Saccharomyces cerevisiae S288C: one gene and its partners. The gene in region 2 interacts genetically with the main gene of each other region. Each region holds a gene or a part of one and is shown on either strand. Other genes may lie near its edges.

The links.
Region 1: mutations in RVS167 (region 2) and MYO5 together harm fitness more than expected from each alone (negative genetic interaction), as found in Saccharomyces cerevisiae (6 studies listed by BioGRID, with this or other methods).
Region 3: mutations in RVS167 (region 2) and RUD3 together harm fitness more than expected from each alone (negative genetic interaction), as found in Saccharomyces cerevisiae (5 studies listed by BioGRID, with this or other methods).
Region 4: mutations in RVS167 (region 2) and GIM4 together harm fitness more than expected from each alone (negative genetic interaction), as found in Saccharomyces cerevisiae (6 studies listed by BioGRID, with this or other methods).

Annotation. Positions count from the first base shown.
Region 1 is NC_001145.3:485,027-491,565, reverse strand, and holds MYO5 (myosin 5), read right to left. Parts: upstream 4,980-6,539; coding exon 1,320-4,979; downstream 1-1,319. Other genes in the region: HFD1 (hexadecenal dehydrogenase), read left to right, coding at 1-1,172; ILV2 (acetolactate synthase catalytic subunit), read right to left, coding at 5,419-6,539. UniProt on the Saccharomyces cerevisiae protein: One of two redundant type-I myosins implicated in the organization of the actin cytoskeleton. Required for proper actin cytoskeleton polarization and for the internalization step in endocytosis.
Region 2 is NC_001136.10:1,247,878-1,252,527, forward strand, and holds RVS167 (amphiphysin), read left to right. Parts: upstream 1-2,308; coding exon 2,309-3,757; downstream 3,758-4,650. Other genes in the region: MUS81 (Mus81p), read left to right, coding at 1-105; CIN10 (Cin10p), read right to left, coding at 277-1,944. UniProt on the Saccharomyces cerevisiae protein: Component of a cytoskeletal structure that is required for the formation of endocytic vesicles at the plasma membrane level.
Region 3 is NC_001147.6:746,547-751,241, forward strand, and holds RUD3 (Rud3p), read right to left. Parts: upstream 2,434-4,695; coding exon 979-2,433; downstream 1-978. Other genes in the region: AIM41 (Aim41p), read right to left, coding at 179-736; RFC1 (replication factor C subunit 1), read left to right, coding at 2,755-4,695. UniProt on the Saccharomyces cerevisiae protein: Involved in the structural organization of the cis-Golgi and in vesicle targeting/fusion stages of ER to Golgi transport.
Region 4 is NC_001137.3:146,275-149,099, reverse strand, and holds GIM4 (tubulin-binding prefolding complex subunit GIM4), read right to left. Parts: upstream 925-2,825; coding exon 906-924; intron 818-905; coding exon 501-817; downstream 1-500. Other genes in the region: WBP1 (dolichyl-diphosphooligosaccharide-protein glycotransferase), read left to right, coding at 1-378; YEA4 (Yea4p), read right to left, coding at 1,121-2,149; VAB2 (Vab2p), read left to right, coding at 2,345-2,825. UniProt on the Saccharomyces cerevisiae protein: Binds specifically to cytosolic chaperonin (c-CPN) and transfers target proteins to it. Binds to nascent polypeptide chain and promotes folding in an environment in which there are many competing pathways for nonnative proteins.

The DNA of each region.
Region 1 (6,539 bases), on a different chromosome or scaffold from region 2:
TTTTAGCATTTGCCCCATTGGCAGCAGCTCTTGCTGCAGGTAACACCATTGTTCTGAAGCCAAGTGAACTAACACCACACACTGCTGTAGTTATGGAAAATTTGTTAACCACAGCTGGTTTCCCTGATGGATTGATTCAAGTAGTTCAGGGAGCTATAGATGAAACTACAAGACTACTAGATTGTGGAAAATTTGACCTAATATTCTACACAGGTTCTCCCCGTGTCGGATCAATAGTTGCTGAGAAAGCAGCAAAAAGTCTAACACCTTGTGTACTTGAACTTGGTGGTAAATCACCTACCTTTATTACAGAAAATTTCAAAGCAAGTAACATAAAAATTGCTTTGAAAAGGATTTTTTTTGGTGCTTTCGGAAATTCTGGCCAGATTTGTGTTTCACCAGATTATTTGTTAGTACATAAATCTATCTATCCAAAAGTCATTAAAGAGTGTGAATCAGTACTAAATGAATTTTATCCAAGCTTTGATGAACAAACAGATTTCACTCGTATGATTCATGAGCCTGCTTACAAAAAGGCCGTTGCAAGTATAAACTCAACTAACGGCTCCAAGATTGTGCCTTCAAAAATTTCTATCAATTCAGATACTGAGGATCTATGCCTTGTACCACCAACCATAGTTTATAACATTGGTTGGGATGATCCTTTGATGAAACAGGAAAACTTTGCTCCTGTATTGCCCATCATTGAGTACGAGGATCTTGATGAGACCATTAACAAGATAATAGAAGAACATGACACTCCATTGGTGCAATACATATTCTCTGATAGCCAAACTGAAATAAATCGTATCTTGACGCGCTTAAGATCTGGTGACTGTGTTGTCGGTGATACAGTGATTCATGTAGGAATTACCGACGCTCCATTTGGAGGGATCGGTACTTCAGGTTATGGTAACTATGGTGGATATTATGGATTCAATACCTTTAGTCATGAAAGAACAATTTTTAAACAACCATATTGGAATGATTTTACCCTTTTTATGAGATACCCTCCAAATAGCGCACAAAAGGAAAAGCTCGTCCGTTTTGCGATGGAAAGAAAACCTTGGTTTGACAGAAATGGCAATAACAAGTGGGGGTTACGCCAATATTTTTCATTATCTGCCGCCGTTATTTTAATTAGTACCATTTACGCTCATTGTTCTTCCTGAACGTAATGTTTAAGGTTAATTAATTATTTGATGTATAAGTAACCTTTCGTTTAAAAATTTCATATGGGCGATAATATATCAATATTTATTAATTACAATTTACTCTATTTGCTCGTATAGAGTATATACTCGCTAAATACATTTTGATTACCAATCATCTTCCTCTTCATCTTCGTTAGCCTCCTCGTCATCACTCTCTAATCTCATTTTATTGGCCCTAGCAGCAAGCGCATTCGCCAAACCATCACCCAAACTTGCTTGGGCTGCAGCTGGAATAACGTTTGCAGAGGTGTTATCATGTTGTACAGAATTCAGAACGGGTTTAGGAACATCCCTGTTTTGAGGAGGAGTAGGGATATTATTATTTCCGGAATGTGGTTTCATGTAAGCTGTTGGCACCCAACCTTCCTTAGAGCCATCCAGAAGTTTCCCGAGAGACCAACCGCTTGGTTCTTCTCTTGTAATGTAAATTACGTCTCCTTTCTTTAAAGGTAACTCAGATGGTGATCCTGAACCAGGAAAATCGTAAGCCGCTTCAAACATGGGTTCTTTTGGCTTTGAAGAGGGTGGGGGTGGAGGAGGTGGTGGAGGGATATTTGCCTGTCTACCAGAGCCCATTGCGGCAGCAGCGGGTGTAGCAGCGGGTGTAGCACGAGTGGCAGCAGTAGGGGGAGAAGGACGGGCATTACTTTGGGATGCAGTGAGAGTGGAAGCAGGATTAGGAACAGATCTTCTTGTAGCAGCTTTGTTCTGCATTCCTGGTGGTGGAGGGGCAGGCTTTTTAGAATGCCTAGAAGCCGGGGCGGTGGGAACATGCTGGGCTGCAGCAATCGAAACTGGCCTCCTCGTTGCTTGCGAGGAACTAGCATGATATCCTGAAGAGATTGAACTCTTTTTTCTCGGTTTTTTGTGCACTTGAGAATTAGGTGGGTTACCACGACGAACTGATATTGTACTGGATTTATATATGTCGCCATATTTTGGTGCAGATTCATTGATTTGACATTTCACTGAATGCAACTTTCCAGGTTTCTTTTGGTACTCTATCGCCGAGCCTATTTTAATTTGAATTTTGTCGTTAAGCCTTTTCAGATGCGTTATGAGTTCTGTTTTGAAATATGTGTTGATTAAGGGGTCAGGTTGACCTGAGCTAGCCAACTTAATGGCGACCCAATCATCCTGTAAATTGGTTAAACTAACCGCTTGAATGTTTCGCACATCGATTTTATAATCCTGAGTATAGGTCATAGCATTTTGGACCAAAGTCTGACCAACAATGTACAATGTAGTTGGAGTTAATAGGAAAGTTTTTTTCAATCTTTGTGCAGAACGGCCAAATTTTGTATGCAAGGCCTCACCATGTATGGAAAAGATGACCTTCTCTTTAATGCTCACTTGTCTTTTGATATAAGCGCCCTTCGATTTGGACTCGTTGCATGATAGATAATCACCCATGAAGGCTCTGTAACCTAATAAGGACATAGACCTTCTTTCTTTTCTTCCACCCAAAACCTTCGTACCATAATCCCGGAGCTTCTCATACTTATTACCTTCCTTCCTCTCCCTGATGGTGCGCTGGATCTTAGTGGCCGCATCAATTCTTCTTTGCAAAAATCTCCTCCAAGCACGTTGGATTCTGGCAGCCATATTGTGCCAGTATCTATCTCTCATATGCTCCAAAGCAAATAATGTTTCAGGTGTTTTGATGAAAACACTTGTGACACCCAATTGGTACTCCTGCTGTGGGATAGAGGAATCTTGCAATATATACTTAACAGCATCTAAGGTATCACCTTGCCATGTATAGTCACCAGCGTAAGAACAGTGTGGAGATAATAAATAAAATCTTTCCACGAACTTCTCAAACACTTGTCTATATGCAAAACCTGCTCTTCTGATACGCACGTTTTCTTGCAGACCTAGATACTTAATCTGGTGTAGAACTTGCCGATCGTCATAATCGTTAGGAGATTTGGTTTCGTTTGGTTTAATTGTTCTGATATATGAAGGTTGTGCTTTTGATAAAGTTTCAACCAAATCATTTGCACTCTTTATAATTTTGTCGCCTGCTGTAGGTGGCCTTCTTTTTGATTCTCTGTCTACAGTATCCGGGAAAATGGTGGCTAAAAATGTATTGGTAGTGGTACCAATTAATTCTACCAGATCCTTTTGTAATTGATCCTTATTTTTATCTGTAATACCGTCAATATCGTATGTGACATCACCGGCATAATGCTTAATAACAAACTTGTTAGATCTCAAGTCAAAATGTGGATTTGTTGTGAACAAGTTCAAACGCTGAGCAAAAGCCTGATCAGCAGCATTTGAATCCGCGTGTGCAGTTGCAACAGAATCATTCATTGCTGCAAATATACCAGGTGGTCTTCTTGCCTCAATCAAATCACACACAACCTTGTTATCAAAGTATTTAATTGGGGTCCATTGGATTTTTTCTCTCTCGTAAGTTTCTTGCTCAGATTTCAATGTCAATTGAATAAAGATTTGTTGTAACTTTTCATTAACATAATTGATACAAATCTGCTCAAAAGAGTTATGTTCAAAAATTTCAAAGCCGTAAATATCAAGAATACCAATGGATTTTTCAGCGCCTGGAAAAGCCTGCAGAGATTTGTTAACCCTACTCACAATCCAGTCAAATAAGTTATTGTAAATAGCCTTTGCCAAAGCATCTCTAACCGCATCTGCTTGGACAATATTCAATGGAACATGATACACTGACCCTCTTTTCATACCATGATTGGTTTCCATAATTCTTTCCACAAGTGATTTAATCAGCAATTGGCTATCTATTTGTAACAAGTAAGCAACAAAATCGGTTACTGAGGTGTCCCTAACTTGCGCATTCCCCTCCTCATTTTCTATAAAGGAAACATTACCAATCCAAAGAATTGCAGCTAACATCCTGAAAATTTGGTCTTGTTCTTCTTGACCGAGACCAATAACTCTCATAGCTTTTAATGTCTCTTGATAATCTTGCAAATCATCAATTGTCTCAGCAGATATGCAACCCGCAGCAGCTGTGTACACATATTGTTCCGGTTTTTGGACCCCAAATGTTTGCCTATAAGCATCGGAAGCACCTTTCGTGAACTGATAGAATATATGGAAATTTCTTTCATTCTTAATTTGACTCACAACTCTCTGCTTCTCCAATAAATAGTTTGTGATATTACCAGCACATGGTTCAAACTGGTTATTGAATTTTATTTCTAGATATTTCCCATGTCTAGAAGAGTTGTTATTTCTTAGAGTCTTTGCACAGCCAAAAGATTCCAACAATGGATTAGTGGCTAAAACCATGTCTTTAATCTTTCCAATTGACTCCGTATGTGTGCTAGAAGCAGCCGCAATATATTGCATAATTCTTTTAGCTGCTTCAGTTTTACCGGCACCTGATTCACCTGAAATAATAACACACTGATTTTCATTATATGATTTCATGTTGTAGTACATAGACTCTGCAATTGCAAATACATGGGGTGGAACTTCCAATCTATTCTTACCTTTGTATTCATTCATAACAGCATCAGTATAGATTCCGAGGTCTCGGAATGGATTGACACTAATTAACACATGACCTATATAAGTGTAGATTGTAGCATTCAAAAATCTCTTCTTCAAGTTTTCATTTATGGCTTCGTCGGAGATTTTAGAAAGAAGCGTCAGATCAGACACACCAACTTCTTTCTTCTTCGAGGAATCAAAAGTAGCTTTCTTGATATTCGCAGAGCGTTTAGCTGGCTCCTGATGTACCTTTTTTCTAGCTCCTCTTTTTAAGATAGCCATTTCTATAAAGCGGTTAAATTCGTATTGGCCACTGTTCTTATGCTTTATTATAAACTATAACCTTTAAATACATAGTCCAGTTTGTATTTTCCAAGCTTGCAATTTTTGACGGCCCCTTTTCGAGAAATATTTTTGATGATTGACAAAACGAGAAAGAAGTCGTGTCCGACGAGTTAAAACACACCATTTGAATACATATGCTACGTATCCACTTTAGATTTATCAAATACTACCAACTCACTTGAATTGAACTTATTATTCATCTATGACTTAATTTTAGCCGTCATTAGTTTTTTAGAAAAAAATATATAAAGTATATACGAAAAAAATATACATGACTACCGATTTGGTAGAATGTCATATATAAGAAGCACGATTAAATAATAATAAAGTCTGCATTTTTTACTGAAAATGCTTTTGAAATAAATGTTTTTGAAATTCAGTGCTTACCGCCTGTACGCTTATGACGTAATTCAGTCTGTTGTCTTTCAACTTCTGGGTCAAAATTTATGAACTCGTCTAGACCGCTACCACCTGCCACCATTGGCAAAACAGGAACTTTTTTATCAACTTCCACTTCAAGCAAAACTGGGCCCTTGGTAGAAACGAATTCTTTCAACTTAGCGTCCAATTCCTCTTGCTTCTTGACTCTTAAACCTTTTAAACCCATAGCCTCCGCTAGTTTTATGAAATCAGGGTTCAATTGATGTGTGTGGGAATAACGATGTTCGTAGAACAGGGATTGCCATTGAGTAACCATACCTTGCTCTTCATTGTTCAAAATCAAAATCTTCACTGGAGTACCAGCTTGAACGGCAGAACTCAATTCCGTTAGAGTCATGTTAAAGGATGCGTCACCATCAATGTCAATAACCAAAGATTCTGGCTTTGCAACTTGAGCACCGATGGCGGCAGGGAGACCGTAACCCATCGTACCTAAACCACCTGATGTGATGAAAGTATGTGGATTTCTCCATGTCCAGTGTTGAGCAGCCCACATTTGATGTTGCCCCACACCCGTTGTAACAATGACATGTCTTCCTGTGTCGTTGGCAACCTTGGATAGTTTCTTTATAACCGTCTGTGGTTTAATTTTAGATCCTGGAGTCTCCTCCATATAAGCGTATGGGTATTCCTTCTTCCATTTATTTATTTGAGCAAACCATTCAGACCTCTCCTTAACTGGGAAAATCTTTGACATCATTTTGCCCAGATTGGTCGTAGCATCACCTTCCACTGCTATTTGAGTTTGAACAACCTTGTTTATGTTTTTTGGACTAACCTCGAAATGAATAATACCACCTCTACCCTCGGCAGCTGCACGACGAGCTTCTGGAGCGAATTTAGAAATATTACCAGTGACACGGTCGTCGAATCTAGCACCAACTGCAATTATCAAGTCGGCATTTTGCACTGCCAGGTTGGCAGTAGCACAACCGTGCATACCAAGCATATCCAATGATTTTGGATCTTCTTGGTCGAATGAACCTAAACCTTGTAAAGTAGTGGTGACAGGTATTTGAGCACGGTCACTTAATTCTTTTAGTAATCTTGGACCAT
Region 2 (4,650 bases):
GAGGCTAAATTGTTGATGTTTAATGTACTGGGAGATGCACCTGGTGCGAAGAAAATTACTAAATCTCTTTCAGAAAAGATATATGATGCTTTTGGTAAACTTTAGCAATTTGAAATATAGTCATCCCTGCAAGGTTTTATAAAGAAAAAAGTGATGATATTCTTTTAACTAATATATACATATATAAGAAAAGAAGCCTTAATTTCTCACGGACAAATATACCAGAAGCATATCTGAAAGCCGCCCCAATGCATTATGATGCCACTTGACAACTCATCAATGGTAGGTACGAAAGACATAATGAACATCAATTCCATTATCAAAAACCCTTCCAACCTCTTCCAGTGACAAACCTTTGACTTCTGGATACCAAAAATATACGAAAAACCAGGCACAAACTGTGAAAAAAGCAAAAATGAGCATTGTATTTTCATCACCAATGGTGTTAATAGTGCTCAGATATGTCATTGAAACAAATGCATTGGTCAACCAATTTGTGCAGGCTATACATGATGCCCCAAATGATCTCCTGTTCAAGGGGAGAAATTCCACACAGGTCCATGGAACGCTGCCCATCGCAGAAGCATATGCTGCAACATAAATTACAACAGAAATTAAAAGTAAATTGACTTGGTCATGACCGAAACCTACACTGCAAAGAAGTAACCCAACAGTCATAATCAAAATTGTTCTCAAAAGAATGGCTCTTCTTCCCAAAGAGTCCATGGTGTACATGGCGAAAAAAGTGAATATGAAGTTCGTTGAGGCAATCAAAATTGGAGGCAGTAGAGGGTTTTTTATATTAAATTTGGAAAATATTATTGCCGCATAGTACATAAAAGCATTAAAGCCAGTGATTTGCTGGAAAAACATTAACATGCAACCTACTATTAACGCTCTTATTGTGCGTGGCTCCATTCTGTGTCTTTTCTTTTTGTTAGATGCCAGGGCACCGTTTGGAGCTGGGCCTCGCAACGCCGATAGATATGCTGATGAGGAGGACATTGTGTTGCTAGTTCTTTCTGTGTTCGAGGAAAGTCTTTTAATGTTAGGTGGGCTAAGAGTTCCTGAGGTTGAACTATCCATGTATCGAATAACCGATTGGGACTGTACTAGTAAAGGTTCACTTGCATCTTCGTATAGTCGTAACTTATCGAGTTCAATTATCAGCTGCTTAATTTTACTATTCACATGATATGTAGATGCAGTAGGATATAGCATTCTTAGAGAATCCCTGGTATATAGAATGTCTCCCTTGGAAATGGACCATCGTGGCGATTCAGGGATAAAATCCAGTATTGAAAGGAACAGAATAGCTGGAATAGCAGAAAGTGCGAACAAATATCTCCATGAATTATCAATCTCTTTCATAAGGGACGCAATCACATAGGAAACCAATTGACCTCCAGTGATGGCAATAATGTTCAATGTCAACATAAAACCCCTGATTCTGGAAGGTGAAATTTCACTCAGAAATAGAGGGACGCACTGGGCAGACACTCCAACAGCGATCCCAACCAGCAATCTCCCACAAATCAAAAACGTCAATGTTCTTGCTATAGCCATTCCAATTGCAGCTAGGATAAAAATTGAACAGCAGATTGCGAGAGTAATTCTTCTTCCATACCTATCTGCTAAAGGAAATGCCAGAATAGAGCCAAAAAATGATCCGACGCTTGTACTGGAAGTTATCAGCTCCTTCTGAACATCCGTTAAAACTACCAAAGATAGATCTTCGGGCTTTAAAGAAAGCAGAACACCTGATATAACACCAGTATCATAGCCGAATAAAAGCCCACCAATGGTAGCACCAACGAAGATTAACGACGTTTTGAACGTTAAAGCATATGGGAGTTGCTCGATGTCATTGGCAGTATTGGATGTTACCTGGGAGATAATGGAATACAGATCAGAATAAACGTCTTCACTTTCATCTGTAGACATACCTCTATCAAGTTTTGACTTTCCTGTCGCTTGCCTGTACGCTTTTGTTTTCTACTGAGAAAAGATACTTTTTGACCATGGACTATAAGTGCACGCTACAGTTGCACATATAAGGTTGTATATAGTTCAAGAAGTTCCTTTCGTATGGAAATTTTGTTATGTATACCTTCCAGTTGCTATGGTAGTCTACCTGACTAAATTATCAATCCGACCGATGTTCGGATGTTGCGATAATATTGGTACCGGAAAAAAAAAAGGAGAGGGCTTTGTAGTGTCGATGTTTAACAACCTGTTTTAAGGAATAAAGTAAAGTGAGGCTCACCTGGTCATTTAACACCAAGAATCAAGGAGCCAATAAGTGCACATGAGTTTTAAAGGGTTTACCAAGGCTGTTAGTAGGGCTCCTCAGTCCTTCCGTCAAAAGTTCAAGATGGGTGAGCAGACAGAGGATCCTGTTTACGAGGATGCAGAACGTCGTTTTCAAGAATTGGAGCAGGAGACAAAAAAATTAAGTGAGGAATCGAAGAGATACTCGACTGCGGTGAATGGAATGCTGACACACCAAATTGGATTTGCCAAATCCATGGAGGAAATTTTCAAACCTATCAGTGGTAAAATGAGTGACCCTAACGCTACCATACCAGAGGACAACCCACAAGGTATTGAAGCAAGTGAACAGTATAGGGCAATTGTCGCAGAATTACAGGAAACATTGAAACCGGATCTGGCTTTGGTGGAAGAAAAAATTGTTACGCCATGCCAGGAACTGTTGAAGATTATTACTTATATTCGTAAAATGGCCACCAAGAGAAATCACAAAAAATTAGATTTAGATAGACATCTAAACACTTATAACAAGCATGAAAAGAAGAAGGAACCAACCGCCAAAGACGAAGAAAGATTGTATAAAGCACAAGCTCAAGTGGAAGTGGCTCAACAAGAATATGATTACTATAACGACTTGCTAAAGACTCAATTACCAATACTGTTCAGTTTGGAAGCTGAATTTGTGAAACCATTATTTGTCTCATTTTATTTCATGCAATTGAACATTTTTTACACTTTGTATAATAGACTTCAAGACATGAAGATTCCATATTTTGATTTGAACAGTGACATTGTAGAGTCGTACATTGCCAAGAAAGGCAATGTGGAAGAACAAACGGACGCCTTGACTATTACACACTTTAAACTCGGTTACTCTAAGGCAAAATTGGAGATGACCAGAAGGAAGTATGGTGTAGCAACCGCCGAAGGCTCACCCGTCAGTGGCGCATCAAGCGGTGTCGGATATGGTGCTGGGTATGATCCAGCAACTGCCACTTCTCCAACCCCTACAGGATACGGTTATGGTGCCGCAGCACCAAGTTACGCCGCTCAACCTGCTGCCCAGTATGGTACTGCTGCCGCCGTTGGTACTGCTGCTGCTGTTGGTACTGCTGCTGGTGCTGCTGCTGGCGCTGTTCCGGGTACTTATCCACAGTATGCTGCTGCGCAATCTCCACCGCTCACTGGGCTAGGCTTCCAACAATCACCACAGCAGCAACAGGGACCACCACCGGCCTACTCTAATCCTCTAACATCACCTGTTGCGGGCACACCAGCCGCGGCCGTAGCGGCAGCTCCTGGCGTTGAAACTGTTACCGCATTGTATGACTACCAAGCTCAAGCTGCTGGTGATTTGTCTTTCCCTGCCGGCGCAGTTATAGAAATTGTCCAGCGTACTCCGGACGTGAACGAATGGTGGACAGGAAGATACAATGGCCAGCAAGGTGTGTTTCCTGGGAACTACGTGCAACTCAACAAGAACTAGAGGAGGCCCCTGCATCCCTCTGTATTCATTACCTTCTATTGTGAGATGTTACCATTACCTTTTTCTTTTATTGTAATGTTTCTTAATTTAAATACTATATAGGGTAATTCATCCTTCCACCAACAAAGTATCGTTTGAGTCTATCTATTACGGGCATGCGGCGAGCATATTACCCTACTGACAATATCCCAAAAGGGAAGGAGCGCGTTCCCAATAGGGCTGCCACCTTCCCAATATGGTACAAAGCCTACCATATGGGGAAATCAGTTTTCTCGCTCACCTCGCCTAGTCTTCCTAAAACGACGTTCCTCAGTCTCCTTTCTCTTTTATAAAACACCATCTCTGTCTTGTCGATGACACAGCCCAGTTGGGAAACCGGTGCTGACAAACAGGAAAAAAGCAAGACTAGTGGCCTGGCGCGGAAGAAACTGAGCTACATTGCACAACATCTTCAAGCAGGGTGTACGCATTCATTACTTTAATACTAAATTTAGAAGAAATCATCCTTTTTACTCGCGAAACTGTTAGGCTTGATCGGACGATCTCAGAAGAGGAAAAACAAATTGATAAAGTCTTCGTTAGGTTTCCTAGAATAGCAGGCCCGTTACAAAAAATTTTTTTACCCATTCCACTGGTTTTATTCACTAGTGACTTGAAAACTCCACATATTTTTGATCTCTTAAGCTTTCACGCATCACAAAGTTATCAGAACAAATTTTCTCCAGAAAGTTATATTGCAGTGTTCAAAAAGCCGTTCTCATTTCACAGCAATTTTTTTCTAAAGTAGAGGGGCAGAGAAATTAGCCTTCACAAGTTTGCTTTCGAGCTTCCAATTTGATTCCTGCTTTGGTCTTACTTTCATCCTCTCAATACCACTAAGATAAACTAAAAAT
Region 3 (4,695 bases), on a different chromosome or scaffold from region 2:
AAAACGTAGCCACAAAAAAAAAAAAAAAGGTGAAAGGAAGCGAGCATTAATTTTTTATTTTAATATGTAACTGTGATATGTATTAACAAAGTATCTTTCATAATTTTTGACGAATATTTTTACTTCTTTTTTACTATTGAAGGTTGGGCTGTGATTCATCGCGCAGAAAACAAGGACCTCATTTGAAAATTTCCTTGAATTGCTTAACAATGCTATTTTTGATGGCAGTTGGAGATGTCTTCCATTCTGTTGGCAATGACTTCCAGTCGATTTCTCCCATGATTTCCTTAATTTGAACTTTTTTTTCACCTGCCTTTGTTTTGAGGGCGTCCAGTAATTTCTTCACATTTTGATCAATATCAAGCTCTGAAGACACTGGCAATTGGTCCATATATTTCTTTATAATGTCCATTTCACCTTGCTCTTTGGCCACCAGATCGTCCCTCTTGTTAGCAAGGAACTCATTGATCGAGTCCTTTCTTTGAGATATTAACTTGGAGTACATGTCGTACAGGGAGTACTCATCAGCGCTCTTCCCTTTTAAAGCAATTTCTTTGTTTTTTATGGCAGATAACATATTTCTGATTGCTGTCTTCTTCATCTCATCCTTGGCAATCATAGCCTTTTTCAAATCTCCTTTCAATAGGCTGACTGCAGCCGTGTAGGCTGGAGAACTGTTATAACGAATGAAGGTTAGTCTATTTGAAACAAGTGGCCTAATTGATTGTCTGAACATCTTGGAATAGTGTTATTTGCTGTATTCCCCAACTTTATCCCAAAGTCTTTTTTCTCCAGTTCATTACTTCTGTAAAAAATGTTGCAGATCCTTTTTCTTCCCTTTAATTTTGAGTCCTTCCCCCCGAAAAGTCCCAGATGCCGGGTAGATGTGATTTATATCATTTATCGTTTATAGAGTATAAATTGGGTGATGCTACACTAAGTACGTATGCTCTTCTGAACTAGACTTAGTTTGCCCGATTAGTCTTTCTCACTCTCTTTCTCGAGGTAGTTGGTCCAAAGCGATACAAAGCTTTCCGTTCTCGATACAGCGCTTGAATTCTTAGACTCATTATTCGAGATCAAGCCGGCCTGTTGTTTCTTATCTTCATCCCAGTTTAAGAAATTGGACAGTAATTCAAGAACTTCAAACTTTCTTGGGTCTGCTCTGGGTATGGACACGAAAGATATCAATAGATTGGATATCAGTTCTTTATCAACGGATTCAGAATCGCTTGATTTCTTCAACATGGCCAGTGCCTTTGTTAAATGCTCATTTAGTATAATGGCTTCGTGACGTAGTTTTCCGATCTGTAAGATGTGCTGCTTAGATTCTTCCTCATATTTTTCCTTCATAGAGGCGTCCTCCTTCATGGCTTCTAGCTGTTTTTTCATGCTTTCTAAAGCTTCTGTGTCATTGTTGTGCGTTTCTATCTCCGTGTCAAGTTGGGATCGTAAAGATTTGACTTCCTGGTCTCTCTCTCTAGCCTCTTCTTCCCTTTTGTTGTCAACTTCTTCTATCTTCAATTCCAGATCATTTAGAGAATTCTTTAATACTGCTTTCTCCTTTTCATGGGATTCCAAAGCCTGTCTCAATTCATCTCTTTCTGTTCTCAAGTCAGATATATCTTGTTTATTATTTTCTAAGATTATCATGAGTTCCTGAACTTGGAGATTTAATTGATCTTTTTCCTTCCTGTAAGTGTTAAGTTCCTTACTATGTTTTTCAATTATGTCGTGTTTTTCATCTTCCAAAGCTTCTATCCTTGATTCGTATTCCAAAAAAACCTCTTCTGTACTTTCTTGCTCCTTTTCTAGGTTTTCTAACTCTGTATTTAGGGTCACAATCGTGGATTGTAATTCAGAGTTTTCGGTCTTGGTAGCTTCAAGTTTCTTCTTCAATTTCAGATTTTGTGATTCATATTCAGTAAGCTGCTCCTGCACTTCCTCTAATTGTTTTTGTGCTTCTTTCATCTTATTAAAAATTGATTTCATAGAAGATATCTTGCTCAATAATGTGTCATACTGTGTTTTGAATTCGTCTCTTTCCTTAATAACATTTGCTAGTTCATTTTTGAAGTCTTCATTAGGCGTTTCTTGATCCTTCTTGTGGCTTAGTTCCAATTTTAAACGTTCAATTTCTTCCCTTAGTTCCTTCATCTCATCACCAGCCTTTTTGTCCTCTAAAGGATTTATGGTGTCTACAGTCAGGCCGTCATTTACTTTTTGTTTGTCTACTCCTTCAGAGAGATCTTTCCCCTCATCGTCCGGGCTTGCCACGATACCATCAGCCTCTGGATCTGTGGACATTTTTGGAGGAACGGTGACGTTTACAGAATTGATGATTTCTTCAGGTTTATTGACGGTTTCATCAACGTCCTCCACATGAGGATGACTCTTGGCCTTCTTACCTGTTTTCTTCTTATTTTTACCCATTCTAATTAAAAAAAATGCAATTGTTTGAGGGGATCAAGTGGAAAGTATACACAAGCATCTACTATATAGCTGTTTATACAAGATTTTCTTGTTCTTCATGAATGGTCTTTCTGTTTGTTTCCATTTTTCGTATCGAAATGAGCACGAAATTCAAAAAGAAGTACTGAAAAAAAAATCAACATGAGAAGGAACAGCCGATCTCTCAGCGAAAACAGTGGCTTCGTTGAATACGCTGCTTGATCCTTACACAATAAGGAATTGGGTATCTCGCAGTTAATTTTATAACTTCAAGTCACTTCATAATAAACTAAGCTGAAGAAAATGGTCAATATTTCTGATTTCTTTGGTAAAAATAAGAAATCCGTAAGATCGTCAACATCCAGACCTACGAGACAGGTGGGTTCGTCTAAACCAGAAGTTATCGACTTAGATACTGAATCTGACCAAGAATCAACCAATAAAACACCAAAGAAGATGCCTGTAAGTAATGTAATTGATGTATCAGAGACACCTGAAGGAGAAAAAAAGCTACCTCTTCCCGCTAAGAGGAAGGCCTCTTCACCAACTGTAAAGCCAGCAAGTTCAAAAAAAACCAAACCCTCCTCTAAAAGTTCAGACTCGGCTTCGAATATTACGGCTCAAGATGTACTAGATAAGATTCCATCCTTGGATCTGTCAAATGTTCATGTGAAAGAGAATGCTAAATTTGATTTCAAAAGCGCAAATTCAAATGCGGATCCAGATGAAATTGTTTCTGAAATAGGTAGTTTTCCAGAAGGAAAGCCAAATTGTTTATTAGGTCTAACAATTGTCTTCACAGGTGTTCTGCCAACCTTGGAGCGTGGTGCATCGGAAGCTTTAGCGAAAAGATACGGAGCAAGGGTTACTAAATCAATTTCAAGCAAAACTTCTGTAGTAGTCTTAGGTGATGAAGCAGGGCCAAAGAAACTAGAAAAAATCAAGCAATTGAAAATCAAAGCCATAGACGAAGAAGGCTTTAAGCAATTAATTGCTGGGATGCCTGCTGAAGGTGGTGACGGGGAAGCTGCCGAAAAAGCACGTCGAAAATTAGAAGAACAGCATAATATTGCTACCAAAGAAGCAGAATTGCTTGTTAAGAAAGAAGAGGAAAGGTCGAAGAAGCTTGCAGCCACTAGAGTTTCTGGTGGCCATCTGGAGAGAGACAATGTGGTTAGGGAAGAAGATAAATTGTGGACAGTAAAGTACGCACCAACGAATCTACAACAGGTCTGTGGTAACAAAGGAAGTGTAATGAAATTAAAAAACTGGTTGGCTAATTGGGAAAATTCAAAGAAAAATAGTTTTAAACATGCTGGTAAAGATGGCTCTGGTGTTTTCAGGGCTGCAATGTTATACGGTCCTCCTGGTATTGGGAAGACAACTGCTGCTCATTTAGTTGCACAAGAGCTTGGGTATGACATTCTTGAACAAAACGCTTCTGATGTTCGCTCTAAAACTTTACTTAATGCCGGTGTTAAAAACGCTCTTGATAACATGTCTGTAGTGGGATATTTCAAACACAACGAAGAAGCTCAAAATTTGAACGGGAAACATTTTGTCATTATCATGGATGAAGTTGATGGTATGAGCGGAGGCGATAGGGGGGGAGTTGGCCAGCTGGCACAGTTTTGTCGTAAGACGTCAACTCCATTGATTCTAATTTGTAATGAACGTAATTTACCAAAAATGAGACCATTCGATAGAGTATGTCTTGATATCCAATTTAGAAGACCTGATGCTAACAGTATCAAATCAAGATTAATGACAATTGCGATCAGAGAAAAGTTCAAACTTGATCCAAATGTCATTGATAGGTTGATACAGACTACAAGAGGTGATATCCGCCAGGTTATTAATCTACTTTCAACGATATCTACGACTACTAAAACCATAAACCATGAAAATATCAACGAGATCTCAAAGGCATGGGAAAAGAATATTGCCCTAAAACCCTTTGACATTGCCCATAAAATGTTGGATGGACAAATATACTCAGACATAGGTTCAAGGAACTTTACACTGAATGATAAGATCGCATTATATTTTGATGACTTTGATTTCACACCCCTAATGATTCAGGAAAACTATTTATCTACAAGACCAAGCGTTTTGAAACCCGGCCAGTCACATTTGGAAGCAGTTGCTGAGGCGGCTAACTGTATTTCATTAGGTGATATTGTCGAAAAGAAGATTCGTAGTAGTGAGCAATTATGGAGTCTTTTGCCTTTGCATGCTGTTCTT
Region 4 (2,825 bases), on a different chromosome or scaffold from region 2:
CCACATATCGCTGATGATATCCAATTTGAACTAAGACAAGTGGATCCGTACTACCGTCTAACATTGTCGCCAAGCGGAAACGATTCTGAAACTCAGTATTACACCACCGGTGAATTCATCCTTCCAGACCGCCATGGAGTGTTTACATTCCTCACTGACTATCGTAAGATTGGCCTGTCGTTCACTACTGACAAAGACGTTAAAGCTATCCGTCACCTTGCTAATGATGAATACCCAAGAAGTTGGGAAATCAGCAATTCTTGGGTTTATATTAGCGCCATTTGTGGCGTCATTGTTGCGTGGATATTTTTTGTTGTTTCTTTCGTTACGACTTCCTCTGTTGGCAAGAAACTTGAAACATTCAAAAAAACAAACTAATATATGTTTTCATATCCTTTATAATTCTTTATAAATGGCTCACATAAATACATAAGAGTACCTGATTGTGTTTATTTATATTTTTTGCCAAACTAAGTACTGCAATAGATTTTATATATGGTTTAGTTTTTAACGACTTGAATCTTATTGTCTTTTTTCCATTTTTCAAACTCTTTTGCAGTTTGTATTAAGGTTTCTTTCATTTTACTTATTGTACCTTCTATGTTTTCCTTCTTAGTTTCAAGAATAGGCAAACTCGTTTGAACATCACTTTCAACAAGTGCGCCACCTATCATCCTGTAACATTTTCTCGTCGGCTCAGCGTCTTTCAGTGTTTTTATGACTATAGTGTGTTCATCTTTGTCATGACCTAATTCTATGATTTTTGTTTGCAATTCTTCCAAAATTTGTTTGTATTCATTATATTTTGCTTGAAAGACTATACACAGAGAAAACACAAAGATTGTTAGTAAGATAAAATTGGCTACATGCATTTATTAAAACCCAGAGATCGAAATTTTGCATACCGTTGTTCCTTTGTTCCATAGCTGTAATATAGTTCTCCACTTCTCATGAATGAGTTTTAAAGATTAGTGAGTTTAGGTGATGAATTCTTTTTTTTTTTTTTTTCATTTACTTCCAGGCGGCAGCGTTCGCGATTTTATCTAAACTTACGTCAACACCACTAATATAGAGTTAAGGAACATACAAGTAGGATTTAAGGTTAGTTTATAATGTGTGTTCATTTACTTTTCTTTATCGCCCCCTTGTCATTTTGCCTGGGGTGAATTGATCCCAGCGAGTATATAAAGGCACCAAAAAAGACTAGGTAGACCCCGATGTAGCCAGTATATGACAAGTTATTATCGAAAAGTCGGACGCTCAGTAAAAGACTTATAAATTTTCTTACAAGTAATGTTATGGAAAGTGTCAGAGCGTTTGTTTTACTGGCGAGGATATTAACACCCTTGACGCAAAAATATTGTGTTAACACATTGAAAAGAAGGAGAGTTTCTTCTCGCGGGACTAGAATCTTCCCTCCAAAATTTGAACACAATATTCTTTCAGACTTTCTCATCACTCGATATTCGTGAATTAACTGCTTTCGACTAAATAGAAAGAGAGGTAATGATAAAAAATGACTGTAAAAGATATTCTCCTTCCAATGCTTTCCATATTTTTGATACGTACGTTCATTGTATGCTGAAAGTAAAGATGATGTGAATGATGAAAGTACTAGTATACAAATGCCAAAAATAAAAGTGAGATCTACAGATTGGTCACTTCCAATTTTCCACGCTTGCAGTTTCAAATCTTGGTACCGAAAATCAGCATCTTTGAATAATGAGGCAATTATAGCTCCAATGGTTAAAAATAGTGTTGATAAAATCTGAATCTTTGTATATTTCCTACCATTTAATAACCAGCATGTAAACATGGTTATTACGGTTCCGAAGCATCTGAAAACGATATGAATCGGAATGGATATGTTGTATTTAAATACGTTATTATTCGTCGTAGATGAAATATAAAATAAAACGACAGTAATGACATAAACGTGAAGTGGAGTTTTCAGAGGCTTGAAGTAAGGGAAAGGTTGATGAACATCCAGAAATTCGGGGAGTCCCTGACATGTAACAAATAAAAATTGACAAAAAGTAATGAGATTATTAATGCTGCCTGTTTCGTTGCTCATTAAGGTTTCAAATGTAATAACATTGGAGCAACAACCTCCGAACACTAGAGCGAATGCTTTTAGTGAGTTCCACATTTTTTAGATTCTCCCAATCCAATTACTTCCCTGCTTATTCTCAATTGAATTCTCTTCATTTTTTCTAACTGGAGTGCAAAGCACTGAATATTTTTACTTTGCGTCGGGAGCGATTGCTTCCTTAAAATATGACAATGAATATATAAAGGAAGAGTATGCGTAACCAAACCATAAGAAAGGCAGAGAGTGCCTAGCATGGTAGCAGACTTAACTAAAGGTATACTGAAATGGAAATCAAGAATAGAATTTGATGCCGTTGGAAGCAGTTCCTATTACGAAGAGTTAAAGGGCTTACCTCCCCTTGCATCCCATAAAAAATTAACACAGGCTGCTATCTTCAATAGCACGAAGTATGAGTTATTACAAGTAAAAAAAGACATTCTGTCCATCTATGAAGTTGTAAGTAGGGACATTGACGAGGAACGCAATCAGATGCAGCAAATTGAACTTCAACTTAAAAAGTCGTTAAAAAAGGTAGAACATAGTTACAAAAACGTCTTAAAGCAAAGGGCTTCTACTAATTGTATCAATGGAAATGATCGTCTATTGGCCAATGCGGAAAAAAAAATTGGCTCGTTAAATGAAGAACTCGCATGTGTCAATGATATTGTTTCAGATATTGTTAACAATTTGACCGCATTGAATGCAAACCTCCCGAAGAAGGCACAATTATTGA